Mytilus edulis: one gene and its partners. The protein of the gene in region 1 interacts with the protein of each later gene in a biochemical or structural test. Links are inferred from orthologs where the notes say so. Each region holds a gene or a part of one and is shown in the gene's direction. Other genes may lie near its edges.

Region 1 (7,457 bases):
TGAGATATGAACTTGACCACCAAAACTTAACCTTGTTCACTGATCCATGAAATGAGGTCGAGGTCAAGTGAAAACTGTCTGACAGACATGAGGACCTTGCAAGGTACGCACATATCAAATATAGTTATCCTATTACTTATAATAAGAGAGAATTCAACATTACAAAAAATTTGAACTTTTTTTTCAAGTAGTCACTGAACTATGAAAATGAGGTCAAGGTTATTGGACATGTGACTGACAGAAACTTCGTAACATGAAGCATCTATATACAAAGTATGAAGCATCCAGGTCTTCCACCTTCTAAAATATAAAGCTTTTAAGAAGTGAGCTAACACCGCCGCCGCCGTAGCCGCCGCCGCCGTAGCCGCCGCCGGATCACTATCCCTATGTCGAGCTTTCTGCAACAAAAGTTGCAGGATCGACAAAAAGTGCTTGTTATCACTGAATGGTAAAGATTGTTTTAATTTATCAGTTGGTAGTAAAAGTGAATATATACATTGTATATTGTATAAAACAATGATTTAAGTTGATTCAACTACTATTCTGGACAAAGAAAGATAACTCCAATTGAAAATTTTGGACCCTTTGACCTTAATGTAGACCAATTTGAAAACGGGACCAAAAATTAAGAATCTACATACACAGTTACATTTGGCATATATCAAAGAACCCCAATTATTCATTTTTTGATGAAATCAAACAAAATTTAATTTTGGACCCCGATTTGGACCAACTTGAAAACTGGGTCAATAATCAAAAATCTAAGTACATTTTATAGATTCAGCATATCAAAGAACCCCAATTATTCAATTTTTGTTAAAATCAAACTTAGTTTAATTTTGGACCCTTTGGGCCCCTTATTCCTAAACTGTTTGGACCAAAACTTCCAAAATCAATCCCAACCTTCCTTTTGTGGTCATAAACCTTGTGTTTAAATTTCATTGATTTCTATTCACTTATACTAAAGTTAGTGTGCGAAAACCAAGAAAAATTCTTATTTGGCCCCTAATTCCTAAACTGTTAGAACCAAAACTCCCAAAATCAATCCCAACCTTTCTTTTGTGGTCATAAACCTTGTGTCAAAATTTCATAGATTTCGATTAACTTAAACTTAAGTTATAGTGCGAAAACCAAGAAAATGCTTATTTGGGCCCTTTTTGGCTCCTAATTTCTTAAATGTTGGGACCAAAACTTCCAAAATCAATCCCAACCTTTCTTTTGTGGTCATAAACCTTGTGTTAAAATTTCATAGATTTCTATTCACTTTTACTAAAGTTAGAGTGCGAAAACTAAAAGTATTCGGACGACGACGACGCCAACGTGATACCAATATACATGTACGACCAAAAAATTTTCAACTTTTGCGGTCGTATAAAAACTAGATGTTTCAAGATCAGCTGATATAACCAAAAGCATTTCAAATGGTAATTAAGGGTACCCTCCCAACCCCATCCCACACCAAAAAATAAATAAAGGGGGAATGTGACCATGGGACACAAATGGAAGATGATCCCCACTTGCATATTATGTTATATAGGGACATAACTCAAGAACAGTAAAAATGAAGCTACCCAAGTACAACTTGAGTTATGAGGTAGTAAGCAATCTGTACATAATAAGTTTCATAACACTTGCTTGAGTCAAACTAAAGTTAGGAATAAATATAAAATCCTTTTCGAAAGAAAAACTATATAAAAGCTTAGTTTGGACATTTTTATAGTAATTCAAAATAAAACATTTTACCTTTAGTATGGTAATGGCTATAATATAACTATACAGCTTGATAGACAAATTTAGTAATAACATCATTAAAGTGGAGTTAAAGTCTTATAGGATTGTAAGTATATTTTATTTTATCACCTTGTACTTTCACATTTTGACTGAACAATTTGTTCAATATTCTGACCAGTTGAACAATTTGATTTTATAAAACAAATTGCGATTTGGTCAAAATTTTGAATGAGTTGCAATTGGTGGATAGCAACACTAACAGTCAAGTCACTGTAGTATGATTGTTTTTAGTTAAGATTTTTAATAGAGTAGAAATCGTTTTTTATTAATTGCACTTATATTTTTGGAAGTTTTATTTTTATCGTTAACTTTCAATAGAATTATGTTGAAATAAAACTACATTGTCCTCTGCTAAGATTAGTTAAAGATAACAGTATTTTCCAAAGAATTTATTACAGTGTAGAAAGTTAATTGTTAATCTTAACAGGATTCCTAAATTTTATGACACCTTCAGTGGGTCAGTCTTAGTCATTTAGAGCTCAAATAATAGTCGTCTGCAAATGCAGCTGTGGCGATTTAATTACTTTGTTTTGATCATCTCTGGGAATCAGGTTTAAGTAGTGTAAAATTGTATGTCAAATGGTCAGACTTAAACAGATCATGTCTTTATCATGTGATAAGTTAACACGAAACAATGTTGTGAAATTGTAATATGAAATGATTTTAAATATTGGATTAAAAAGCAGTTATTAACAAACATTCGAGTTAGTTATATGTAATGGATATAATAATTCTATTTGTTTGACCCTTTCACCGATGAGTCCTGGTTTACCGAGATTCACGCTTCAGACAGCTGACGATGAGTCCTGTTTTACCGGGATCGGAATACCTCTTTTATTTATATTTCCCGCTCAAAACAGTGCAAACACGAGTTATCTTTCTTTGTTGAATACCCTGATGAAAGTGTAAACATGGCGCTTCCGTTTGTTGAAAACCGTGTCAAAATCAATGGAAATTTACAAGAATTAAAAATTTAGGAACATTTTTGTAAAAAGAATATGGAAGAATTGAAGCCAAACTAGTAAACTGAAAATGTCGTTTTATGTACACAACACTTGGAATGGACATCGTTGAGTGTAAGGAATTTGTACAGCCTCATTTCATTTTTCAAAATTTTGCCGTTTTGGGTTAAAAATAATGATTTTGGGTCAAAGAATAGATCTTTCAGAATTTCAACTAGATCATGCCGAAAATTTGAAAATTTTATGAAGAAAAAAATATCAAACATGAACAAAACTGTGAACATGGTGTTAGTGAATGAAATAAAGACACAAATAACTACAGACTAGTTTTTATTGACATTTATTATGAAGATCTCCCTCTTGAGTAATAGTAGCCAGGGAAGCCATCGTCTCAGACAGAGTAGCTTCTGTCTGGGCAGCTATCGGTGAAAGGGTTAACATTATTGTCGAACTCCCAAATCGTCAAACTTTATATGAACAATTTATTCCACTTTCAAATCGTCTCCCCAACAATTGATGATGATGGTGGTTACCATTACAGTCTGGAAACTGTATATATATAATGTATAATGTTATCATACCTGTAATTTCATGACGTCACCACAAGCAGGAGCACCAACCAATCCCGTTCCCACATCTTTGTCGTTTTTATTCATAGATCCAACATTTCTGGGATTCTCATAATGATCAATTACCTGTTATTCAAATAAAAATAATAAAAGTTGAATAATTTTTTGTTTGAGTATTTGAATAGAATATGCGATTCATTCTATTTGTCATGTTTTACTACAATAATTTAATTTGAATAGAATATGTGATTCATTCTATCTGTCATGTTTTACTACAATAATTTAATTTGACTGAAAATCATCAAGGGAGACAACTTTTTAACTCTTTGGCAACAACTCAAATTTCTGTCTGCAAAATCATGAAAATGTCATGTCAGAAATAAAGGCAGAATTTATTTGTAACTGTTTATATGGTTCACAAAAAAATGCCTATTCCAAAACAACTAATCTGATATCATAATCGAATAAATGAGTGTATAATAATGTAAACTTTCGATGAAGGACTTGGCATTGCATAACTTTTATGTAAAACTAAGACAACATCTACAATTTGTACAAGCAATCTTTATTGACAAATAAACGTGTTCAGATACATTTAAATATATATTCTTACATTTTTGTGATAAAGTGCAACTAACGACGTAGTTCGACTTTCTGTTACTGATCGAAGAAGTTGTCCTCCAACTCGAAATAAAGCCATGATGTTGTTTTGCATGTGGTCTGATCACTACTTCCACGTGACATCATCCGCCAATATAGTTTTTATATTTTAACATCTATAGATAAAATTTGATTGTCCATTAACATTCATTAATAACCGTATAACTTTCAAACACTATTTAAATTGTTTGATGTCCGCTTATAATTACATTTGTAGCTGTTTAATCAGGTATAATTATGCGTAGTAATATAGATATCTACTTTCACTTCTGAATTCTGACCTGAAATTGAAAGTAGGTGACATTGCTTTCAGATGACAAACATTGTAATAAATGTAAAATACAATGTTTCTTCGTCTTTTACAATCGAAGTAGATACTGACTGGAATGTATGGAAAGTGAAAAGAGAAATTTCCAAAAGAATTAAACTACCACCTGAAGAAATACAGTTGATATTTACAGGCTGTGTATTGAAAAATGATGCTATTTTAAAGGTGATAAAGGTTTATGATCACTACAAACTTTTTTTGGTATCAAGTACCCCACCCTTTTCATATATTTTGTTTATCAAAAATATGTACCTTGTCATATATGAGGGGGGATAGGAGAGGTCTTGATCCCGAAATCCCGGACTTGAAAAAACGAAATCCCGAGGTCCTTTCGGGATCTGGGAATTTAAATAAAGCAAATCCCGACATCACGAAATCCGAAAAAAAGATTCACGGATCCCAAAAGGGTCAATCCCGAAATCCCGAGCTTAAAAACACCCGATCCCGGAGTCCCGATAAAGGTCCTATCCCCCCTCATATATATCAATTAACAAAAAACAGACCTATAGATATATTTGAATATTTTTCATTTTCTGGTACATTAGTATATAGATTCTTATTTTACTTTCACTTTCTCTTTCTATTTATATCTATAACGTCGTCATAACAACCTCTATTGTTCAGCGAACCACACAACCGCCAAATTTGTACTTCACTGTTTGATTTCATGTATAATATTGTCCTGAAGACACCACCCTTGTTGGCGAAACATGTCGACCATAATAAACTCTTACCATGCCGTAATTGATCGGTGTTGTTGTCTTTGTTATTGTTTTATGTTTAATATTAATTAAAAACTGATAAAAGTTACAATGCCGTTCCCTCTTACAATGGAATTTCTGTAAATAATTGTTTAATGTTTTATGTATACAAACCCTTGAATGTTAATTACAGAGGCGGATTTAGGGGGGGGGGGGGCCCTTTTTGGGAAAAAATTTGGTTGCTTATATAGGGAATCACTGAAGAGTGACTGGAGCGGGCCCCCTCTTAGGTCAGTCAGTGGGCCCCCACATATGAAAATTTCTGGATCCGCCACTGAATTAGGTGCAAATGTCAAAATGGTCGGATTTATTGCATCTATCACTGGCATCAGTGGAAAAACCACATCAGAATAAGTAGAGTTTAATTGGTTTGACAAATAAGTGATGCATTTACAACTGTGGTTTAACGCATCAAAAATAAATACGAACATCTGATTAGTTTTAGATACTTATGATATAATCAAGCAAGTGATAATATCAACCTATTGATATATTTAATTCTGAATTTCTTACCCTTTTCATATATCATAGAGCATGAAAAAGTGACCTATTGCAGCGGCTCATCCCTACCACTAATTATATAGTAAGTGACACCCCCCGAGCTTTTTTTTTAAAAGGAATTTGATGAAAATAAAACCAAGTTTTTTGTAGAAAATCCACAGAATTTTTTGTTATAAGATTTTTAAAACACATTACTCTCTGGTTTTTCTATGATGTGCTAGTATTTATTATTTACAAAAAGTCCTGAACAACAAGGCCGTAACTAGGCATTTTATTTTAGTGAGGCAAAATAATTGAGCGGAGCGAAGCGAGGCGAAAATTTTTTTTTGAGGGTATGAAATGAATGGTGTAAAATCCTGCATTCTAGGCATTTTTAGAGAGTTTGATAATGTTTTGAATTTGAACACTTTATATAAATTTTTCATATTTTAAGACTTTTACTAACACCAACAACTTTATTTAAATTTATATGTAAGATAATCATCCAAATATCACTGATTTGAGTCTGCTGCCAGAACATAGAACAAACATCGATTCAGTAGAGTTTGCCAAATTTTTCTATTGCCGGTTCAGTCAAATCGTTTCAGAATCATAATTTGGTCTACTGGTATCCTTATCGCGATGAACATGGAGCATGGCAAGACCGCACAATCTCTCGCCACTCATGCATGCTCTTTTCCAAGTTTTCAGTCGTTTCAGGGCAGTCTGTGTTTCTAAAGGTAGCACATTGTCATCAACACAATGATCAATGTCTTCTTCCAATTCCTTCTCCATCAGCAATTCGGTAGCAGCATCGGTAGTAACAGTTTTGTTTGCAAAAGGGAATTAAGCTTTCCTGTAAGAACCATCATACAGTCGCAGTTTCAAAATATTCAACTCGCTTTTATGCTGACAAAGAGTAGACAAACTAGGGATAGAATGAGATAAGATACAGGTATATGATTCTATCTATAGAGTAAGTATATCTGGTATGGGTACAGGGGAAATTGGACTGGAGTTTTTGACGTTTACATGTAGGTCTGTAATTTCCAATTATTTCTGGAAATAGTTGGTGGTATTTTAGTTCCAGAATCTATAAATTTAGGGGTTAGGGTCTGGGGTGTCCGATTCCGAAACCCAGAATATAAAGAAACGAAATACCGTAGTCCCGAATAAGTAAAGACAAAATCCTGTGTTAAAGGTTCTACCATTCGATCCTCAATAATATCAAATTGGAATATGGGATATTCTTTCAATTTTTAAGGTTAAAGAAACATGGATAACAAGAATGTGTCCAAAGTACACGGATGCCCCACTCGCACTATCATTTTCCATGTTTTATGGACTTTGAAATTGGGTAAATATCTAATTTGGCATTAAAATTAGAAAGATTAAATTATAGGGAACATGTGTACTAAGTTTCAAGTTGATTGGACTTCAATTTCATCAAAAACTACCTTGACCAAAAACTTTAACCTGAAGCGGGACGAACGAACGAACGGACGGACGGACGGACGAACGAACGAACGGAGCCACAGACCAGAAAACATAATGCCCCTCTACTATCGTAGGTGGGGCATAAAAACTAATCCATGGATGTTTCATATTATTTATATTTTATTTATTTGTAAAGAGAAAGATTAAAGTTCGTGAAATGAATACACAGACAGGACTGCTCCCTTGCGATGCCCAGTACTTGATTTGTCAAAGTTGGTGAAACGGAGAAATGAATACGCAGACAGGACTGCCCCTTTCCGAAGACCAGTACTTCATTTGTTAGTCTAGTTATCGTTTTTGGATTGCACTAATGAAGTTATATGCAATACTCAGACTCTGTTCACCAAAAAAACTAGTTTACTAGAATTATTCCTTATTTACCTTCAGTGTCGCTTTTCCTTTTTCTGCA
Region 2 (8,150 bases), on another chromosome or scaffold:
TCTAAAACAGCAGACCAAATAATGTATCTATTTCTGAATGCTGAGCAGTAATGAACTTATCTTAATTGTGTATGATAAATGTCATAAAAGTAATAAAATTAACAAAATTCTATAAGTATGATTGAATAAAGTTCATAAGAGTACAGAAATGACAGACATGTATGTACAGTTTCAAGCAGACAAAATGACATGACTGTCTCAAGCCATGGATGTACTTTGCAGAGATCTACAAATATAGATTGCTTATTAAATGTATAATAATGCCAAAACAGTTATCTATCTTAATAATCCTAAATGTATTGAATGTGTGGAATTTCCCTTTTTGTATAACAATATTATACTGAAAACCAGATCAGGAAATATATTATTTTTGTAATATTTTTATCTAAGGATTGACCAAAAGCATTGAGCTGACATATGCTGGTGGATGTATATTAACTCTTATAGAAAACATTAAAAAATATCATAGATTTTACCTTTAATTGTATCACACATAATTTCACAAGCTTGTAAATATTTGATGGTGAGGCACAACTTGAAAAGACTTATTGTCTGTAGTTATACCTTTGTAACTGTCATTCCAAGCAATATTATATTACATGATTTATGTGGACATACCTGTCGATATCTAGATAACTGATGATAGAAAGAAGTTTTCTACAGAAAAGAGAGAAAAACAGTAAACAAAGGAATAGGAAGAGCTGACGAAAGTGTGTCAACTGTATTCAAGATATCTAAGGAAAACTTGAACTCTCAATCCAATTTGACTTGAATTTGTCTTTTGACTCTGTAAAACTGTAGTACAATGTACCATTTATAATATTATTAAATGAAATGATTAACTTGTTGGAATGTACTTGCAGTCCCTTTTTTCATAACAGCAGAAACATAATAAGAAGTTGTATCTTTTTTGACACAGTTTTCATTGATCTAGTACAGCATATTTTCTATTAGCAACCTCCTGCAACAGTAAAATATCAATGCCAATGTATTATGTCATCTATTATGAATGATAGCAATGTCTTCAACACATTCAACATGAAAGACTTGAAAATAAGCTTTCCAGTAAAGATACTTTGGAGTGGAGAATATGGTAGGGTGAAGTAACAATTGTGGTGAATGTTACAATGTTTTTCAAAAATGTTCAACTTGATATTCCAAACTATCACACCTAGCAAGATATGAATTAACATGTAAAGTGTGAAGTGAAAGTGTTAATTGACAAATTGGTTCAATACAAATTACAAACGGAAAAAATATATATTTCATGTATTTTGTAAATTTATTGAACACATAAAAACACCAACACCAAAGTTACAAGGGAATACACAGACTCTTTTTAATGAATCTTTTCATTGTCTGAATAAGAAGGTGGAAACCATCATACAGAAATTTACAATATGTATTCAATCTTTTAACATAGTTAATTATTTCTGATTTTTTACTATCATTTTCCAAAAAAAGGACAATCAAGATATATTTTCTAAAGTTACTAAAACACAGGTTTGTTTATAACTATGTCTGACACTAATGCTGTTGTTTATGAAATTGAAATATATACACAAGCTAATGATAAAAAGTAGGAGAAAGATAGGGTTCTTTTAACTTCTTTAAAGACATTTAAAAGATGTATGCACTATTTGTTTTTGTGACTGCTGTTAGTCTGTATGTAAATTCCATTTCAACATGCAGTAAATTAAATGTTCACTATATAAATTGCAAGATATTTTAATTTTAAGCCTTTTAATATTTCTAGATTCTTATTGTTTGTGTAATTTTGATGCACTAGTGAAAGCAAGCTTTTATCCTCAAACAAATATAAAGGATATTTGTTTTTAAAATATGAACATACATGTAGATATACTATAAATGTTGTGTTCCATGTTTGCCTTAATAAAATAAAGCAAGCAAAAAGAGTGTAGTGAAAATTTTGCATTCTGTCACTGCATGTTTACATGTTTGGTATCAAAATGTTTTAAAGTGCCTGTATGCCAATAAGGCTAAATGTACTATAGACAAGATAGAAAGGAAAAACAACCATCACCAAGAGAAAAAGAACATGCAGGTCTATTGGAAGTGAAATATTAACAATGTTACTCTACCTGAGTGGATGATCTTAATAACTGACTTTGTGAAAACTGTCGCTCCTATTAAAATGAGAATTGTACAAATAAGAAATGAAGTTACATGTTATCATTTAACTATGATAATGAAACTTGAGCCTGTGTATCGTGTAAACATGAATAATAAATAACAGTTTAGGAGGAGATGATAAACTACAAATATACCACTGCGCTTTTTCTTTCTGATTTTGGGCATCTGGTTTTTAAAGGTAACTCCTAATTTTAAATTTTGTTACTTAAAATGTAATGTATGCATACAATTTAATCTGAAATCTTTGTTATTGAACACCTGTTAAAATCTTAGTTCTTACTACAAGGGCATAATGTTGACTACCACAAAACGTAGTTCTAACTGCAAGGGCAAAGTTCTGACATATTTACTTTTGTGGCATTACAATAGATTAATAAATATTCACTTACTGGTGGTGGATTTTCAATTTCTAATGTGAATGGTACACCATTATATCCAAACTTAATTAGGTCTCCAGGCGCCAATCTGACAGTTGCATTCTGAACTCTACATTCGTTTACATATGTTCCTTGGGATGTGTTCAGATCTTGCAGCACATAACCATCTTCTTGTTCACTGTACTCAATAACACTATGTTGAAGGTCAACACCTTGTGTCTGTAATTAGTTTAAATAATCATTCAAAAAGCATGAAAAACAATATTAACTTTACAAAGCTAAATAATCTGTAAAAGGTGTAAAAAGTGAATGATCAAGGAATATAAAACATTACAGGCGGGTCATGGTAGGAGTACCTTCATTAGGAATAATGGTAAAATACCTAGCTAAATGATGCCAATGATAGTTTTTGATGCATGATGATAAATGTACAATTTTAACTGATGATTGAAAAAAAATCATCTGATTTTGACGAAATATGTTTTATTTATTTTGAAACATAGTGGCAAGACATGCAAGAGTAATTTATTTGACACCCCTGACAATTCACACTGTAATTTCAACAAATTTGACATTAAAAGTAGCTGCAAATGACTGTTTGATACTAAACATAAGAGGCATTCCTACCCTCTTACATTCTGAAGGATGAACAACCATGAACCAAAATATAATGAAATTTGATACTCTCAGACTAGTATGAGATTACTCTGACGTCCAACAGCTGTTTGCCAGACAAGCTGGGGCCGTGGGCCTGGCAAAACAGCTGTTGGACGTCAGAGTAATCTCAGACTACTCTCAGAAAAGTGATTTGATCATCTTTTTTAATATAAAGGTACATGAATATAGGTGATTTTTTCAGAGACAAGTGAGTAGTGTCACCTTCATGATGAAGGACCTTGGATGGAAACCTCTTGTGGAAAGAAGACGCTAACAACGACTGGTACTACTATACAAAATAGTGACTGACCTGGTAGCCATCCCCACTGAACATCACGTAGAATTTAATACTAGACCATCCAGAACTTCAAACAAATAAAACTCTTATCAGCAAATATTGACATATATAAACATTCATTTTTTCCACAAATTATCATTGACTGGAACTTACTACCAAATACTACCGTGAACTGTAAAACTGTGGAAAGTTTTAAGGCACTAAAGGCAGTTTATAAATCGTGTGACTAGTTACATCAGTGGCGCACACACACTTCCTGGATAAGTTTTACTCAGTATTTTGAGTTCATTTCCAGTATTATACAGATACTTGAAGTGGGTCTCAAAATTTTATCGCTATTCTCAGCTGACCTGAGAATACACCTTATCGCTATTTGTCCGCCATTACTGGACATCACACAGGTTCCCGTAAAATTTTGACGTCATAATTCAAAATATCTGACGCCACAATGGAAAAGTGATTGTTGTATGACGCCAATAGTTCAAGCGGAACAGATTCTCGGGTCAAGCGGAAATAGCGATAAGGTGTATCGGTCCTGCTTGAACTATTGGCGTCATACAACAATCACTTTTCCATTGTGGCGTCAGATATTTTGTATTATGACGTCGAAATTTTAAGGGAACCTGTGTGATGTTCAGTAATAGCGGACAACTAGCAATAAGGTGTATTGAGGTCTAAGCATGACACAGGATTGGCTTGGCTTCCTTTTTTAGTGGGACACGTAAAAGTTGAATAATTTAAAAGCGTGAAAACAGGATACAAAGTCTGGCGGGAAACGTGAGATAACATGCACTATTGTGGCATGGAGAAGCAGGATATGGAATTCTCAAAAAACAATAAGCCAGATCCAGGATCATACCCCTCTTGAAGTGTGGTTTTTCTGTGTACTACACTTTTTTCAAATATATGAATATTCAATAAATCTATACCTGTAAGTTGATGTCACAACCTTCACGTCCAACTGTTGTCACTTTGGGGGCTAAAGTAAATGCAGACCCATCATTTCCTTTTAAAAATGCTTTCATCTTGACACTCTAGAAAGTTGTTTACATTTGGTTGCTGCTCGGGTTACCAAATACTCATGAACAGGTGCCCGTTTTCCCACGTGTTTCCTGAAAATATTTCTTCAGTTGTCAGTTTTGATGAGATATTTGCAGACTCTATCAATGTAGGATTAAATTCTCCACGTGGGATTAGTAAATTAAGTCAGAATCAATTGTTTTTCTATTTTACATGCAGAATAAACAAGTTTTTTGTCGGCGCGAGTGATGTTGCGCATGCCCAATAGCGCATAACAACCAAACATCCGAAACCTCGAACCTGGATACAAAAATAAGCAGAATTGTTTTTATCTCTGAATAATAGTTTTAATCTTATAAAGGCTATATTTTTAATTGTCTTTTCTAGTGTTATGTAAGATATAAATGTTGAAGGTACACTTTAATAATTTTTACAAAAATTTTCTAGTAGAGATTATTGAATAAAAAATCTGTATCTTTCATACGTTTAAACTAACGAAGTAACTAGGAGGTTAAACAAGTTGCATTGTGCTTCTGAATTTAATGTTTACATATTTTTTAATAAAATTTGGACAACTTTGAAATATTAAATTGCCAAGTGACAGCTTTTAGCAAAAACAAAAATGCCAAGTGCACTTGTTCTACTCGCCGAAGGGGCAGAAGAAATGGAAACCGTCATCACAGTGGATGTTCTAAGACGGGGAGGAGTACGTACCTTATGCTTAGGCTGAGTCCCAAAATTATAATCGGCCCAAAATAATACACCTTATCGCTATTCCCGGCTATCAGACCCGAGAATCTGTCCCGCTTGAATAAACTTATGTATCTTAATGTACATGTTATTGTAACGGATCACATCAAAGACATCAAATAAGGCGATAAGTCGAGTATGCGTTCTATATAAGTATCTTTATTCTTCAAAACTACATATGGCTAAATATACTATATCATAACAACCGATTCTCTTCAATAAAATAAAATACACATAAACATACATCGTAAGTAAAAATATAACTTAAAAAACTAAAGGCATTAAATACTAATCAAACAATATGATTCACTTTCTTTCACGCTTCATAAGTAACTTGTTAAATTAAAAAGTTAATTAGAATAAATATTAATTTATAAATACTTTTACAATTCTTAATATTTCTTCTTAAAATAAATATTGTTCTTAAAACTGTACATAAATTATCTCTTACCGATTATGATCTCTCTATAACAGGTTGGGAACAAACCCCCTGTAGGGTGATTATACCTCTATAGAGGGATAATCCTTCTTTAGAGGGATAAAATTATCCTTCTATAGAGGGTTATTTTTGTTTGCACTGGATTTAAAGCAAATTAGGGCAGAATGGCATTATCTAGTTATATTGGCTATAATCTCTAGCATTATATGCATCAACATATGCACTTTACTAAAAATTAGGATAACCAGTTTTCTGCTAAAGTGACAAAACTTGCAATCTATTGTAAACCTATCTGAACACCTGATCAACAGCAAAAGGAATAGGTCTCGGTTATTGTATAGAAAGGTATATACTATGAAAATTAGAGCGAGGGGCTTTGCCCCAAAGCTCTTATTTTCATAGTATATACCTTTCTATACAATATCCAATTTAGCACATATTTACAACTTGAGTAATCCTGTAATTAGTCTATTGATATGTTTTGGCTGACTGGATGTAGCTCATTTACGTAGTTTTGTAAATCTACTCACTATAATATCATTGTAAAAATTGGATTTCAAAAGGCCCTTGACTTTAGAATGTAAAGAAGGTAGCTGCTGGTGTACGTATGTTTATTGATATGAACGAAAACGTTGTTTTACTATACATGTACTTATTTACATGGTAAGATGACAAAATGAATTGACCAAGAGCAGACAATTCTTAAATTGCAGTGAAAGCTTTACATTCTTGAAAACATTTTTTTAATTTCACATAAAACCTAAAACTATCACAAACAGTTGGATCCCCGTCCCACATCTTTGGTTGAAACACCTTTAAAAAATGGCTGGATCTGCCCATGGTATGTACCCATAGGTAGTCTAGTAGGTAGTTTATATGCATGAAATATTTGTCACTGGACATTAGGCAACCAATTATCGACCAATTTATGACTAAATATATCAAATTTCTTTATTAATAATTTCCCTTTAAAAGATTCATGGTTGACTCTTTTTGTGTACAAAGTAATTGCATGGAAGATAAAGGATTACAAATTTTAGATTGAGTTGTACTTTAATCAAGGTATAAAGCACCATTATTATTACTCTTTATTTAAATGAAAGAAACTTTTTTAATTGTCAAAACAAAATTTAGATCAAAAGATTGATTAGTAGGATGTTAAAAATCTGTTTGAAAACTAATTACAAACTATTTAGTTAAATTTGGAACACATAATTTATTTCAAAATAGCCAGTAGCAATTTTTGTTCTAATATCTTGATTACAATACAATGAAATCTTACCCTTGTGGTCATTCATGCGTAGTTACTTAGTACACGGAAAAAGTATGTACTATGAAAATTAGAAGGCAAATTCAAGCAATTTGATTGGACGAGAACTTGTAAGTATGTGCTAATGGGCGTATGACATTTGCGCCAATTTGAAAATTTTCATTCTTTCATTTGCGCCAATTTCATTTTTTCATTTGCGCCGATTTTATATTTGTTCCTAATTAGATTTACAGGTAATTTAATACTTGTACATGTACTGTACTATACCATTGATAAAATCTGGTTATAAATGTTGTTTATTTATGTTTAATAGATATAGGAAGATGTGGTGTGAGTGCCAATGAGACAATTCTCCATACAAATAACAATTTAAAAAGTAAACCATTATAGGTTAAAGTACGGCCTTCAACACGGAGCCTTGGCTCACAACGAACAACAAGCTATAAAGGGCCCCAAAATTACTAGTGTAAAACCATTCAAACGGGAAAACCAACGGTCTAATCTATATAAACAAAACGAGAAACGAGAAACACGTATATATTACATAAACCAACGACAACTACTGTACATCAGATTCCTGACTTAGGACAGGTGCAAACATTTGCAGCGGGATTAAACGTTTTAATGGATTCAAACCTTCTCCCTTTTTCTGAAACAATAGCATAACATCACAACAAAGAAAAACATACGATAAAATATCAATTGGCAGACTTAACTCAATCAAAAAACGTATGATTAAATAAGTTTATTTTGATTCATATTGTTCTGGAACTTCGTTGTAACATGATGGACATATTACACACTGAAACCGAGGAGTAAATTTTTTAATCATCGAGGGCCATACATATCGGAACTTTAGTGTCCTGAAACATAAGAACATATCTTACGAATGTACCACAAATCGTGTAAACCCAGAGTCACCACGGATTCTATTGTCAAAACACTGATCGAGCATAAACATGTGGCAGATATCCGAAAGACAGAGGTTAAAGAACTACGGGTACTGTCAAGAAAAAGTCTGGAGGTGTATCTTGTAGGTCTTCTTCCATCTCTCAGTAGTGAGCAGGAGACAACAGTTATATACATGTTATGATTGACAATTCATTACATTTGTACAAATGGCTAATGGAAGAGGTCTTAAATGATAAATGAAAAATGACATGACTTGGATGGAGAGTTCTCTCA
Region 3 (8,289 bases), on another chromosome or scaffold:
TTTTGACATCAACATGATCAAGCAACAATAAGTGTTTAATTATGAAGTCAATCTTTTTTAATTGTCACAAATGAAATGTTATGTCAAAGTTGTGGAACTTGTGTGATCTTACGTAATGTCGGGAAAAAAATAGCATACATGTACAACTTGTAGAACTTTGTACAAGTATTAATATATCTATTAAACAAGAGGCAGTCAGAGAGACAGCAAACTTGATTTTCCTGCAGAGGTCAAACCCTGAACAGTTGAGCCACAAAAGTATAGACACAAAATTTAAGCTTAAACAAATCTGAATACACCTTATCGCTATTTGTCCTCAATTACTGGATATCACACAGGTTCCCGTAAAATTTTGATGTGATGAAATAAAATACCTGACGGAAAAGTGATTGTTGAATGCGTCAACCGGGATTAGCTATAAAGTGTATTTGAAATGTGATTGAATATTTGATACAGCATGGTTTGTGACACAATCCCTTTCTTCCTCACAAATTTTTACTTTCTTCATCTATCAATATTGTAACCGGAGAGCACAAATTTCATTACAAAATTGCTTGTCTCCACTGGGACTCAAACCTGGGACCTCTGTGTAACAGGGCAGTGCGCTAACCGACTGAGCTAAAGAAGTACTTCCTTAGCTCAACCGCTTACGGCTGACTAAGTATCTTCTAAGTTTTTCTAAGGGAAGCAATCCTGTCACACTTCCCCCACCTCAAGAGTCATTATACTCTATAATGATGATATTTTCATCTTTTTTATATTTATATTTTAACCTGGCTAGGTAATTCTTCTAACCGTGGGTTATTATTGTTGGGCGCCAATGTAACCGGAGAGCACGAATTTCATTACAATTTTGCTTGTCTCCACTAGCTCAGTCGGTATACACGCTGCCTTGTAACACAGAAGTCCCGGGGAACGAGTCCCGGTGGAGACAAGCAATTTTATAATGAAATTCGTGCTCTCCGGTTAAAATATGATAAAAAAAATATATCAATTTATTAAAAAAATAATATGAGGCAGGCATAACCTGTGAATGGGGACGAAGTCTGTATGATTTTTTTATAAATCAAACATGTTAAAAAGAGAAACAGAATTACCGTAACATTTCCGATTTTGGTTCTGTTGTAAGGGATTTAGTTGTGACGTTATAACGTCATATTCAATGTAAACAAAGAATGTAACGTTTCCGATTTTGGTTCTGTTGTTAGGGATTTTAGTTGTGACGTTATTTAAGTTATGACGTCGTATTCAATGTAAACAAAGAAACGCTGTCATCAGGTAACGTTTTTTTTTATAACAAACAATTTTTTTAAAATAAATTAGTATTGAGTTCCTTTCTTATACTGATAAATATACATTTTATTCAAAGTCTCATGCAAACAAGACCGGAAACGGAAGTAGATTTCTGCACAGATCCGGAAATTCAAAAACGCAACAAAAAAAAATTGAATGATTTTGAGTTCATTAGTACAATGAAAATATCGGGAAAATTTTCCCGATTTTTTTTTTTATTGAATTTTCTACTGTTTTGGGGACTTTGTCCCCATATTAAATGCATATTTTTTATTCGTTTGATTTTTAAAAAAAATTCATACAGACTTCGTCCCCATTCACAGTTAATGCCTGCCTCATATTAAAGTATAAAGGTGGGGTTTTTTTTTTATGAAGAGACAAGTGTCTGAGCATAGGATACAGAATCACAAAATTCAAAGCCAAAGGGATGAGATTGAAAAATCAAAGTGCTGGATAGCACCTCTGGAAAGTTTGCAACTGTAGCTGTGTATTATTCCAAAAAGGTTATAGACGTGTATAATTTCAAAAATGTATTTCATCACAGCTTGGATGTTTTAAACTTAACCATTGTCTTGTCAGTAATTATCAAAAATCACTTTTTTCATGTTTGTCATAAAAAGTTTTGATATTTTCTATTGCAACCTAAAACTTTAGATCTAAAATATTGAAATATACAGAAAGCTCAGCCTCTGATAATTTCTTTTTATGTACCCATGCCATGTCAACATCAAGGGCCTGTGAATTAGTATTTTTCTATTGGTTTAGATCCTTCATATTTGTTTTTAGTAAATTAATACGTATAATTTTTGTTGTTTAAATTGTTCCACATGTTTCATATCGGGGCCTTTTATAGCTAATTTCTACATGTATATGGTACTAATATTTCTCATTATTGACAACCATATGGTGGCCTATAGTTATTAATACATTTTCCTCCTTTGAACTCTTTTGGATAGCATTGGTTCGTTGCAAAAAAATACCGCATCTTTTTTTTTTATAAATAAGACAGTTACAGTAACTTAAATCAATACAACTGTAATGAAAGTGAATTTATATTAAAGGCTTTTATCAAAAATAGGGAACGTGTCCATGGGACACAAATGATGCCCCCGCTAGCATTAACGTTATAAAGTATCACAACTCAAGAACTGTAAATGTGACGCTACCAAAATTTGTACTTGATCTGATGGGGTAATAAGCATTGTGTATACATTCTAATCACACAGTATTGCGCAATAGATTTGTAAGATCTTGACATTTGTTTTATGTCAGAAACCTATATATTATGTCAAAAATTTGATCAAAATCCAAATTCAGAGCTGTATCAAGCTTGAATGTTGTGTCCATACTTGCCCTAACTGTTCAGGGTTTCGACCTCTGCGGTCGTATAAAGCTGTGCCCTGCGGAGCATCTGGTTCCATTTCTAACGAGGCACAACCCTAAAGAGCAGTAAAAAGGACTCCACCAAAATTCAAACTTGATCTTTGTTTTATTGTTTAAAGTATTGTGTATAAGTTCCATAACATTTGGTTGAGCGAACTAAAGTTAGATAACTGAAACGAAAATATTCAGCAATTTTTTACATATGTAAAGGGGCATATAACTCTAAAATGGTAGAACTATCGCCACCAAAATTCAGACTTGATCAGTGTTTGTGGTAATGAGCATTGTGTATAAGATTCATAGCATTTGGTTCAGGGGCGGATCCAGCCATTTTAAAAAGGGGGGGGGGGGGGGGTCCCAACCCAGGATAAATGGGGGGTTCCAACTATATGTCCCTATTCAAATGCATTGATCGGCCAAAAAAAAAAGGGGGGGGGGGGGTTCCAACCCCCGGAACCCCCCCCCCCTGGATCCGCCACTGTGGTTAAGACAAACTAAAGTTAGAGAACAGAAACAAAAATTTCCACCAACTTTCCTATTTGTAAAGTAGCATAAAAACGCTAGAATGGTAAAAGTGACGCAACTAAAATTCAAACTTGACTTGTGAATTGTGGTTATAAGCATTCGTATTAGTTTCATACAATTTGGTTCAGGCAAACTAAAGCAAGAGAACAGAGACGAATTTTGGGATGTACGGAGGTACATGTACGTACAAGTAAGGGAAGGACGTACATACATACAGCAGAACAAGGATTAAACTCAATACGGCGGGAGCAAAACAACAGCAGTATGACCACAGGAATAAAAAGTTTATATACACTAGATTCATAGAGGTGCTTATAACCTGTAAAACATTTAGTTGCTGTTTTGAAATTAAGCATTGTCTTATGAGTTAAGAACATTTGAGAATTTTTGTTTTAAGCCATTCATTTGATATATTACGGTAATCACTGCCTCTGAGTTTGGGTGACTAAGCAATTGAAATCTATTTATATAGGGCATGGTATGCCTTAAAACTTTTCCAGATGCACAGGCCGCGATTTGTCTGTAATCTATCTAAATTTTGAGGTGAAAATGCAGCCATTTTAGCCAAAGGGTACACAGCATGAACCTTAATAATTTCTATAGAACTTGTCTTGATACCCTGAGCTATAATATTCGAAGAAGTAGATGCTGACTCGGTTGCTTTTAATATGGATGCTATATGATATGAATTTACAATAACACACCAGAAGTGGTATGATGTAAATTATTGGAAGAAGACTGAAGAAGAACTGACGTTGGGTCAATGTTTTTCTGCTGTCAGTTTGATCCACTTGAGCATGCTGAACGAGTAAAGTTCCTTACATCCACATTGGAATGTGAAACAATTAGTATTTAAATAACGGAATGAAGTTTTCAAATGATTTTTAGCATCAAAATCTTCCAATCGATGTTTAGACAAAAACAATCACGGCATTTTTAAATTTTTATTTTTTATCAAAGCCGGTATTTACCTTTACTCGTGTATTTTATATTCTTTCAACTGTGTTTTGTTTAAACAAACCATTATCACTTTTCAATTATCCGACGGCTTGGTCAAAATGTCAACTTGTTCTCGCATTTTAATCAGTCATTCTCGATTCTTTCGATACACTCGGGATTTTACCACGTTTACGTACGTACATATAGTAAACAGGTAAAAGTAGAGCGGGGAAATGTTCATTCATGAAATATTCATGAATGAATGAAAACGTAATCTCGCGTAGATTTCTTGTGATTTTCTCTATAGCGCATGGCAGATCCGCGAAGTAGTGTTTGTAATACTCATTTTTAAAATGAAGTTAAATTCATCTGAATCGTCGGTGAATATTCATTTCTTTTTATTCAAGCTGTTATCTTTTCAGTCAATACAGTAGTTACTCAAAATTTTAAAAGAATCTTCCAAGAATCATAACTCAAACACTAGTACTACACTATCTCGGAGCAGAATATATTGCGATAATCTGTCAACCGGAAGTTTGAGGCCGACGGCTAAGGAAAGTAGCAATAGCAAGCTATAGCAAACTTTCCAAAAATTGACTGTATGACATGACCGTGACAAGACAAATTGAGCATTTAAAATGCACAGGCCTACGTCACTGTAACTTAAAGTTTATTTTTCCTCGAGTGCTAGTTTTAACTCAATATACACCGTCTTGTAATTACCATGTTTTCTGCAAAAAAAGATCGGACAGCAAGTTGTGGATTGTGGACGGATGCGACGAATGTGAAACTCCGCATCAAACGGAAGTTCGTATTAATAAAGAAAAAAGTCAATGTTATTCATCTTTTATGCATAAAACTATCAATAAATATTTTATCACAAAATTATTAAGATAAACTATCTGTCATTATAATTTATAACAAGTTTTAATTTGATCGAAATGAAAAATAAGGTTTTATTTATTCACTGCAAAATGGCGGCACAGGGTAAAGAAACATGTGCCGAGAAAAGAAAAACATTCAGACCCCTTTTTAAAGCCATAATGTCACAAACATTTCACAAATCATCCTTAAATTATCCCGTTATGCGGTGTATTTCATTAAATTTCACCGATCTTGCTCTGAAACACTGTCTGACAGTACCATGTGGTTATGAACGTTGGACGTGTCCTTTCGTTTTTTGTTGACATGTCAAACAAGATCTGCAGTCACTATAAGACTAGCATGGTTGTTTTATTGATTAATAGCCAGAAACACATTTATTTAATCTCCACTTAGACAATATGATCCAAGCACAGGGGTTTGTTACAATTGTCGGGTTTACTACCCATACGAACCCCTAAAAATGGGGTTCATACGAACCCCTAAAAATGGGGTTCGTATGGATAATTTGTAAACATTGTAATTGTAACAAACCCCTGTGATCCAAGTGTACATGGACAGTTTTGGGAAATCCCTTTAAGGGGACGATCACAGGAGATTGAAAGACTTGGCGATAAAGGTGTATAATTCTGCCAAACTCGAAAGAAGCTCTACTGTGATAGTCAAGTTAGGCACAATTATACACCTTCATTGCTAAGAATTCAATTCATGTGGTACGATCCCCATGCATTATTTGGTAGGTCTGGGTTCTATAGTTCTGCATTCCTTCCCAGAACACATTAACACCCTGTATGTTTGCTCCTTGGGTCTGTTCGCACTGTTTTTTTTTTATTAATATACCAGTTGATTTATTTTACGTCTTAATTTAACTTTACATCATTAAAATGTTATTTCGTATTGGCTCCTTAGATATAGATTTTGAGCATAAAAGTAATATATTTATATTTTCATAAATAAAATTAGATATTCATCTTCGCTAACCAAGGGTTACGATCCACTCCCGTTCTCTTCACCCTTGGCAGATTGAGCCAACATTTGTTGAATCCATGTTGCGCCATCTATCGGAAGATTAAAGTCACGCCCATTCCGAATACATTATTCTTGACCAATGGTAGCACTTGAACTCTTCATTTAGGAGGTAAAAACACGGTAGCGTCTAGATTCTACCCACTTGGTACAGCCGTAAAATATACGTCAACATTCATGCATTTGTGCATGAAACATACACAGGAACTTCTATTAGTTGATTAAAAACATTCAAGTTGTCACTAAATATAGTCGTATGCTTAGTGATGTAAAGGCTTGTTGCACAATAAACACGTGGCAATTGTTTACGATCACTTTCTACATTTACACGTGATCATGTTACAGGCGCTTATGATTGGATGCAGCGAGTTTCTACTGCAACCAATAAAAATCCTTACCTTGTGTCTCCGAAATATTATCTCAATCCGCCAAGGGTGAAGAGAACGGGAGTGGATCGTAACCCTTGGCTAGCGAAGATGTAGATATTAGGCAGCAACCATTTGATTTTCTGGAGGGGGGGGGGGGGCAGTGATCTGGAAGGATTTTTTCTCTATGGGCCCAGGGCCCCTCAAAATTAAATTCAAGGGGCCATTTTAAAAAATAATGGGCCATGTTGTCAAATGAATGGGCCATTTGAATTGACTACAGTGAAAAAAAATTAAAAAGTGTATATCTCGGCAAAGAGATGGTGGTACTTACCTTTATGATTCTAAATAATATCATGGATATTGTGCCTGTGATTTTGTTATTTCAATTTCAAAGAATGTAAAATAACTTCTTCCAAACCAGACAATATTTAAGATAACCTTTATTTACAATGTTCCTACTGGTACTGTTGTCTTGTTCATGTTCATGGTTTTATTTACATTAAATTTGGGTCTTCGTCGATACCATCCTTATTCCCGACGTTCCGTATTAAAGGACGTTTCTGGCATTTCCTCTGCACTTCTTGTATTATTATAACTTCATCACGATGACAACAATAACAGTAGAGAGTATCATAAATTGATAAAACAAAACAACAATTCGCTGAAGGCATGTTTACAAAATGTCAAGACAAGCCAAAGACCAAAAAGTGACAAGGACAGTTAGTCGCCTTTTATGGAGACAAAAACTATATTCATATAAAGGCTTTGGGGTTTTTTAGAAAAAAAAATTGTTTGTTTCCCCCTCAGATGCCACTATATGTAATGCTAAAATTAGAATAAAAAAATTGTTTTCGACTTGTCGTGAAAAAAATAGATTAGGCGGAGAAAAAAAAGTTTGTCCAGAAAAAAAATCCATAGCTCCCCCTGAAAATCTAATGGTTGCTGCCTTAGAAAAATCTCTCTTCAGATGTACAACATGTACAATGTATTTCTAAAAATGTTTAAATGAATGTCACTCAATTATTAGCTCACCTTGCCCAAAGGGCCAAGTGAGCTTTTCCCATCACTTGGCGTCCAACGTCGTGATCCGTGGTCGTCGTCCGTCGTCGTTAACTTTTACAAAAATCTTCTCCTCTGAAACTACTGGGCCAAATTTAACCAAACTTGGCCACAATCATCATTGGGGTATCTAGTTTGAAAAATGTGTGGCGTGACCCTGCCAACCAACCAAGATGGCTGCCATGGCTAAAAATAGAACATAGGGGTAAAATGCAGTTTTTGGCTTATAACTCAAAAACCAAGGCCACCCTTAAAAAATTGTTTGTTTGGCATTGCCGACCCACACTATCAGCAGGTGGGTAGGTAGGTAGGGATTTTTTTTTTTTTTTACATTTAAAAGCTTTATACATGTAAATCATGAAGTCTCTAGACCAATGTTGTCTAAAGCATTGCAGCATTGTTGTGTGTACATGCTGGTGTATTCTTTGAAAGGGGTCAACCGTCAATGTCACATTCTATATCATATGGATAATTTCATGCAAGAAAGTCAGTTTTATTGGCAGAGTAAATCAAAGTACCCAGAAAAAACACAGACCTGAGGCAGGAAACTGACAAATTAACCATATAAGATGTATGACATGAAAATTGAACGTTTATTGTGGGACTGCACATTGAACAGAGGCCTGATGTCACATCTTGAAGTTGTGGTCACAGTTTGGTAAAATTACCATAAGTTTAATGGCTCAACCACTACGGCTCCTTGTACAAATGGACAAAGATTTAAAACTTTGATTGTTTGCCTTGGGTTTATAAACATCCCATCTACACCATATGGGTAATTTCATGGCAGTCAGTTTTAGTGGCGTACTAAACC
Region 4 (7,753 bases), on another chromosome or scaffold:
TAAGGATAATTCATGCTATGTTTGGTTTTATTCCATTCAGTGGTTCTCTAAAAGAAGTCATTTGTATGCATTTCCCATAGGGTCCTGTGTTAAACTGGGTCCCCGGCTGGTGGCCATCTTGGATGATGGATCGGCAACAAAGTAACAACACTTGGTCAGCACCTCATAAGGAACATTCATGCCATGTTTGGTTTCATTCCATTCAGTGGTTCACTAGAAGAAGTCATTTGTATGCATTTCGAATAGGGTCCTATGTTAAACTAAGTCCCCGCTGGTGGCCATCTTGGATAATGGATCGGCTACAAAGTAACAACACTTGGTCAGCACTCCAAAAGGAACATTCATGCTATGTTTGGTTTCATTCCATTTAGTGGTTCTCTAGAAGAAGTCATTTGTATGCATTTCCCATAGGGTCCTATGTTAAACTAAGTCCCCCGCTGGCGGCCATCTTGGATGATGGATCGGCTACAAAGTAACAACACTTAGTCAGCACCCCATAAGGATAATTCATGCTATGTTTGGTTTTATTCCATTCAGTGGTTCTCTAAAAGAAGTCATTTGTATGCATTTCCCATAGGGTCCTGTGTTAAACTGGGTCCCCGGCTGGTGGCCATCTTGGATGATGGATCGGCAACAAAGTAACAACACTTGGTCAGCACCTCATAAGGAACATTCATGCCATGTTTGGTTTCATTCCATTCAGTGGTTCACTAGAAGAAGTCATTTGTATGCATTTCGAATAGGGTCCTATGTTAAACTAAGTCCCCGCTGGTGGCCATCTTGGATAATGGATCGGCTACAAAGTAACAACACTTGGTCAGCACTCCAAAAGGAACATTCATGTCATGTTTTGTTTTATTCCATTCAGTGGTTCTCTAAAAGAAGTCATTTGTATGCATTTCCAATAGGGTCCTATGTTAAAGTAAGTCCCCGCTGGTGGCCATCTTGGATAATGGATCGGCTACAAAGTAACAACACTTGGTCAGCACTCCAAAAGGAACATTCATGCTATGTTTGGTTTCATTCCATTTAGTGGTTCTCTAGAAGAAGTCATTTGTATGCATTTCCCATAGGGTCCTATTTTAAACTAAGTCCCCCGCTGGCGGCCATCTTGGATGATGGATCTGCTACAAAGTAACAACACTTGGTCAGCATCCCATAAGGAACATTCATGCTATGTTTGGTTTTATTCCATTCAGTGGTTCTCTAAAAGAAGTCATTTGTATGCATTTCCCATAGGGTCCTATGTTAAAATAAGTCCCCGGCTGGCGGCCATCTTGGATGATGGATCAGCAACAAAGTAACAACACTTGGTCAGCACCTCATTTATAAGGAAAGGAACATGTTTAATTTCATTCAAAAGTCCCCCACTGGTGGCAATCTTGGATGACGGATCGGCTACAAAGTAACAACACTTGGTCAGCACCTCATAAGGAACATTCATGCCATGTTTGGTTTCATTCCATTCAGTGGTTCACTAGAAGAAGTCATTTGTATGCATTTCGAATAGGGTCCTATGTTAAAGTAAGTCCCCGCTGGTGGCCATCTTGGATAAGGGATCGGCTACAAAGTAACAACACTTGGTCAGCACTCCAAAAGGAACATTCATGCTATGTTTGGTTTCATTCCATTTAGTGGTTCTCTAGAAGAAGTCATTTGTATGCATTTCCCATAGGGTCCTATGTTAAACTAAGTCCCCCGCTGGCGGCCATCTTGGATGATGGATCGGCTACAAAGTAACAACACTTGGTCAGCACCCCATAAGGATAATTCATGCTATGTTTGGTTTTATTCCATTCAGTGGTTCTCTAAAAGAAGTCATTTGTATGCATTTCCCATAGGGTCCTGTGTTAAACTGGGTCCCCGGCTGGTGGCCATCTTGGATGATGGATCGGCAACAAAGTAACAACACTTGGTCAGCACCTCATAAGGAACATTCATGCCATGTTTGGTTTCATTCCATTCAGTGGTTCACTAGAAGAAGTCATTTGTATGCATTTCGAATAGGGTCCTATGTTAAACTAAGTCCCCGCTGGTGGCCATCTTGGATAATGGATCGGCTACAAAGTAACAACACTTGGTCAGCACTCCAAAAGGAACATTCATGCTATGTTTGGTTTCATTCCATTTAGTGGTTCTCTAGAAGAAGTCATTTGTATGCATTTCCCATAGGGTCCTATGTTAAACTAAGTCCCCCGCTGGCGGCCATCTTGGATGATGGATCGGCTACAAAGTAACAACACTTAGTCAGCACCCCATAAGGATAATTCATGCTATGTTTGGTTTTATTCCATTCAGTGGTTCTCTAAAAGAAGTCATTTGTATGCATTTCCCATAGGGTCCTGTGTTAAACTGGGTCCCCGGCTGGTGGCCATCTTGGATGATGGATCGGCAACAAAGTAACAACACTTGGTCAGCACCTCATAAGGAACATTCATGCCATGTTTGGTTTCATTCCATTCAGTGGTTCACTAGAAGAAGTCATTTGTATGCATTTCGAATAGGGTCCTATGTTAAACTAAGTCCCCGCTGGTGGCCATCTTGGATAATGGATCGGCTACAAAGTAACAACACTTGGTCAGCACTCCAAAAGGAACATTCATGCTATGTTTGGTTTCATTCCATTTAGTGGTTCTCTAGAAGAAGTCATTTGTATGCATTTCCCATAGGGTCCTATGTTAAACTAAGTCCCCCGCTGGCGGCCATCTTGGATGATGGATCGGCTACAAAGTAACAACACTTAGTCAGCACCCCATAAGGATAATTCATGCTATGTTTGGTTTTATTCCATTCAGTGGTTCTCTAAAAGAAGTCATTTGTATGCATTTCCCATAGGGTCCTGTGTTAAACTGGGTCCCCGGCTGGTGGCCATCTTGGATGATGGATCGGCAACAAAGTAACAACACTTGGTCAGCACCTCATAAGGAACATTAATGCCATGTTTGGTTTCATTCCATTCAATGGTTCTCTAAAAGAAGTCATTTGTATGCATTTCCCATAGCGTCCTATGTTAAACTAAGTCCCCCGCTGGCGGCCATCTTGGATGATGGATCGACTACAAAGTAACAACACTTGGTCAGCACCTCATAAGGAACATTCATGCCATGTTTGGTTCCATTCCATTCAGTGGTTCTCTAGAAGAAGTTCAAAATGTAAATTGTTAACGACGACGACGACGGACGACGCCGGACGACGACGACGACGGACGACGGACGCCAAGTGGTGAGAAAAGCAGCTAAAAATGAGAAGATAAAGCAGCTAAAAATGAGAAGATAATCGTAACTGGATAGTGTTTTTTTTATATTGACACTAAAACGTATATCTGATAGTATATGATGAAATTATGGTGATGAATTAATCACGTTTCAACATCTTATGACATTTCTGTTTATATTATTTAAAATAGTTCTAATGAAAACAGCTACATACTATTATATCATAAAATTTGAAAGGTGAACCAGCTTCAAGAAATTTGTAAATGGGAAAACACGAACTATGTTATAATACAAAAAAATCCCAAGAACTATTAGGAATGCCACAAAATATGGGAATGAGCGAAGAGGTAAATTTAAAAGGAAGTTATGATATATGGCAATATGAAGGTACAACTCACGTTACGCAGTGGACATTTTGATGAGTGTCGTAGTGGACAAAACCGTTTCGGTCGTAGTGGACAAAAAGTTTCGTAAAGCTTGTTCTTTGTTTTGCACGAATATAATTGAAAAAAAAGACAAAATCTCCAATACTTGTTTCATAGGCGATTGGTTTGTAGTGGACATATTTACATGTTTTATTTTTTTAGATATGCATTGGACGATCATAGTCATAGCAGTCACCAGGTGCGGATCCAGGATTTAGACGAACTGAGAAAGGGGGTTTCGGGAAAAGAATATACATTTATCATACTAGAACACACCCGTGAAATCGCGGGTCCTTGACTGAATTGAAGTATATAACTATGCGTTAGCCTTATTTTAGTATTAGTATTGTCATATGATATATAAAGTACTGCCGATTATAAGATACACAGTTTCCTCTACTTTCTGTTTGAACCCGTCGACCTGGAACTTATCAATTATTTGTAATATTAATTATTTGGAAAATAAAAGGTCTTGGAATGGAGTATTTTTTAATCAACAGCATTGTCCTACATTAGTTATAAATAAAGTTGAATTCTTTGATTCGCTGTTTTACGTCATGCCCGCTACCAAATTAACCGAAACTGTACATAAACGCCTTATCATTTTAGGTCCATATTTTTAGTATTCGTATTATTATCTTACTAATTAAAATACTACAATAGGGAACAATTTGACAATGATTGAATTTAGTAGTCAGTGTCAACCCTGTGACTATGACCCGTGTATATAGCAAAATCCTAAATACACCGTTTGGTGGTGCGATTTTAGTTGAAATGATAGGACATTTTTTGAGTGGGTACTCACTTTTGTCCAACGACTTACAAATGCATTTAATACATAAATGAAACTAAGTTAAAACATAAGTTAGTTTTGGGTAAAAAATAATACGACCCGAGTTTGAAGTTCCCGCTAAAAAAAACTTACTGATTTAGCAGAGTTATTGTTCTTGCAGGAAGTTGATGAAAATATGGCGACATCATGAAAAGAAAAACAGACACTGATTATCCACTATTACAGAAGTTTGCCTTCATTTGAACTGGTAAAATTGGTTTCAAGCAAAAATAAACACATCACTTATTATTTTAATTATAAATTTCCCAATTATACTGCCTGACTCCTTTGTCGAAGTAGGCCGAACCAGGAGACGGTGGTTTCCCAAACCCTAAATCACAGACACAAAGTCCTCAAAGAATAACTACCTGTATCGGAAAGTGTCTCAATATCGGAACTACAATATCCTAATATTTCCCTCAAAGCATACATGGATTGTTTTGACAGTGAATGACTTTCGAAAAAATCTATGTGCAAGTAATATTCCCAATACAAACAAATGAGGGTACATCTACATTCCAAGTTGATCTGTCAAACTTGACCAATAGTCAACGCTTCTGGTGGGCGCAAGAAAAAGAGTAATTTTGTAAGATAACCAAAGAATATCTTCCGTGGGGGTACCAGGGAAAATAATCCCAGCCGGCACAGCTCCAGTCCATCATTTTGACTTACTTGGCAAATGGGGGAATGCACAGATTAGATAGAAAGTGTTGAAAGCTCCCTCTTGAAAGATACCAAGGAGGGATCCTCAGCTACAGTTGCTGGTAGTGTGTTCCTAACTGTCACTGTTCTTGGGGAAAAAACTGTATTTGTAGCCATTAGTCTTGGTTGAATATTGCCGGAACTTCTTTGTATGTGATGATCTTGTTCTCGATGACATTGGTGTTAAGTACGTGTCGCATGGTATGTCCACAAGATCATTAACAACTTTGTAGAGTAATGTAAGCTGTAATTTGACTCTTCTGTTTTCCAATGAATCCCAGTCTAGTTCTTCTAACATGCTGCCCACACTACTGGTGTTCCTATAGCGGCTGCTTGACCATTTCAACCTTTTTTACTTGCTCTTTTTAATGTGGATTCCATACTGTTGCGCAGTAGTCTAAGTTGGATCTGACCATTGCAACATATGCATTTGTCTTGGTTTCGCTATTGATGTGTTGTTTCCAGGAGAGGTCTGATTCAATGTCGACTCCAAGGTATTTGGTACTTTTTGATCTTTCTAGCACTTGTCCCTTAAGCGTGTATGAGTGTATTATTGGTGAACGTGATCTAGTGGTAGATTGTACACTACATTTCTGTGGGTGAAAGTCCATGCCCCAGGTTTTTTCCCATTCTGCAAGTTTGTTAAGATCTTCTTGTAACTACATTAGTATCAACAGTAGATGTTATCGTTCTGTATACTATACAATCGTCTGCAAATAGTCGTGTGTTGGATGTTATGTTGTCAGTTAAGTCATTAATGAATAGGAGGAATAGTAACGGTCCAAGTACAGTCCATTGGGGGACTCCGCTGACCACAGGAACTTTCTCTGAAGATTCTCCCTCAACCATGACTTGTTGGGTACGTTTGGCTAAGAACGATTAAATCCACTTATGTGTTTGTCCTGTAACTCCATAATGCTGTAGTTTGTTGAGCAGCCGTCTACATGTATGTGAGACACGATCAAAGGCCTTAGCAAATGCTTAGAGAAATCAAGGATAACCATATTAATCTGCTCTCCTCTGTCTAGAGCTGATGCAAGCTCATGCCAAACGTGATGAGTTGAGTTTCACAGCTTCGTCTTGCTCTAAAACCATGTTAACAGTTGGTAAGTATTTTGTGATTGTCTAGATGTTTCAAGGTGTTACTGACAATGATGTGTTCCAGGAATTTACAACATAGACAGGTGAGTGAGACGGGTCTATAGTTACTAGCATCATATCTGCTTCCTTTCTTAAATATTGCTGTTACGTTTGCTTGTTTCCAATCTTCTGGCACTGTACTGGATCGAATACTAGGGGTAGTAATTATATGCCCTTTAATTTACTGTCAGGCGTAAAACGGTCTTTTTCATGTACCGTTACTGTCAAATTGGTAAAATTTTTACTGTGATTTGTCAAAAATTCTGATTGTGATTTGTCAGAGGTCTCACATAACAAATGTATAATTATCGTTAGCGTCAATTGTTGGACAAATTAAACGTGAATCATCAATATCAATTGATAATTTTTATCGTCTGAAGAAAATGTAAATTTAATCGTCATGCACCAAATATTACTGTTTACGTCATTTGCCTAAAAACAATTTCGTCATGAAGGCACCCCCATTAGTGATTACCACCCTCAAACAAATGGGATACTAAAAACAAGCTTAGATTTTTAAAATTTAATTTCATTGACGTTTGATATATATTGAATTGCTTATTAGGAGTCTATGACACTTGACTTGTAGTGATTGACGTTCTAACTATTATATTGTACTTCCAGTCGGGACACTTTCTTTGGTCCCGAGCCCGGTCAGGTGTTTTAGTGGGTAGTGCCTAGTCCCAAGAGAACCCCGATTTAATACTTCATACTGACAGCTGCTAGAAAACCCTTGGGGAAACAATAATATTTATGGTAAGAACGTCAACCACTGAATTGTATCTAAAGTGTATGGCATGTATGGACAATATTGATGTAATCAATAGTTTAATAAACCATCAGAATTTCTAAGGAATTAATTATTATAGGACTAATATCTCAGAACCAGGGAAAATAGGAAACAAGATGGGAAATGCTAGGAATTATATAGTTTTATATACAAACTAAACATCACAACTTTCACTCCTGTTACACACTTACAGCATGTAACTTGAAAAGTTTTGATCCTGATCCTAGGGTCATAATTGACACAACTTGTCTCTTATATATTCTACGCTTTTCCTCTTACAATTGTATGGTACACTGTTGCTCATGGTAATTTATTAAGGTACTTAAATTTATATTTGTTTAAATGCAGGATTCAGGCTAGGGCTCGCCAGTTCTTGAAATCACCTTCCTCTTGCAAGATTTGTTCTAAAAATATTTAGGGTTATTCCCAGACCCTAGGCAATGTCAGGATTTTTTAAATTGCGCTCTCTGCTGTTCAACTTCAGCATGTTCAGAGTAAGCACATATTTTTTGCAGTTATGATGTTGCTGCACCAAGATCCTTTGTAATGGTTCCTATGCAAAATTACTCATTGTTAAGTTTATTTATGTAATTTATGTTATACATGTAGGGTCCAGATCTGGAGCTCCATATCTTTTAAATAAAGTAGT

The links. The genes of interacting proteins can lie anywhere in the genome.
Region 2: the proteins of E3 ubiquitin-protein ligase parkin-like (region 1) and Parkinson disease protein 7 homolog form a complex in vitro, tested with the Homo sapiens proteins (2 studies listed by BioGRID, with this or other methods). The link is inferred for Mytilus edulis from reciprocal best matches to the Homo sapiens genes PRKN and PARK7.
Region 3: of the proteins of E3 ubiquitin-protein ligase parkin-like (region 1) and eukaryotic translation initiation factor 4B-like, one has a biochemical effect on the other in vitro, tested with the Homo sapiens proteins (2 studies listed by BioGRID). The link is inferred for Mytilus edulis from reciprocal best matches to the Homo sapiens genes PRKN and EIF4B.
Region 4: the proteins of E3 ubiquitin-protein ligase parkin-like (region 1) and E3 ubiquitin-protein ligase NRDP1-like form a complex in vitro, tested with the Homo sapiens proteins (2 studies listed by BioGRID, with this or other methods). The link is inferred for Mytilus edulis from reciprocal best matches to the Homo sapiens genes PRKN and RNF41.

Annotation. Positions count from the first base shown.
Region 1 is NC_092353.1:63,686,874-63,694,330, reverse strand, and holds the start of E3 ubiquitin-protein ligase parkin-like, read left to right. Parts: upstream 1-4,237; 5' UTR 4,238-4,295; coding exon 4,296-4,475; intron 4,476-7,457. UniProt on the Homo sapiens protein: Functions within a multiprotein E3 ubiquitin ligase complex, catalyzing the covalent attachment of ubiquitin moieties onto substrate proteins. Substrates include SYT11 and VDAC1.
Region 2 is NC_092356.1:41,317,103-41,325,252, forward strand, and holds the start of Parkinson disease protein 7 homolog, read left to right. Parts: upstream 1-4,961; 5' UTR 4,962-5,128; coding exon 5,129-5,212; intron 5,213-8,150. Other genes in the region: forkhead-associated domain-containing protein 1-like, read right to left, coding at 2,103-2,147, 2,544-2,750, 4,416-4,511. UniProt on the Homo sapiens protein: Multifunctional protein with controversial molecular function which plays an important role in cell protection against oxidative stress and cell death acting as oxidative stress sensor and redox-sensitive chaperone and protease.
Region 3 is NC_092345.1:41,811,065-41,819,353, forward strand, and holds the start of eukaryotic translation initiation factor 4B-like, read left to right. Parts: upstream 1-5,100; 5' UTR 5,101-5,114; coding exon 5,115-5,127; intron 5,128-8,289. Other genes in the region: leucine zipper transcription factor-like protein 1, read right to left, coding at 4,864-4,866. UniProt on the Homo sapiens protein: Required for the binding of mRNA to ribosomes. Functions in close association with EIF4-F and EIF4-A. Binds near the 5'-terminal cap of mRNA in presence of EIF-4F and ATP.
Region 4 is NC_092357.1:19,894,949-19,902,701, forward strand, and holds the start of E3 ubiquitin-protein ligase NRDP1-like, read left to right. Parts: upstream 1-4,564; 5' UTR 4,565-4,680; intron 4,681-7,753. UniProt on the Homo sapiens protein: Acts as E3 ubiquitin-protein ligase and regulates the degradation of target proteins. Polyubiquitinates MYD88. Negatively regulates MYD88-dependent production of pro-inflammatory cytokines.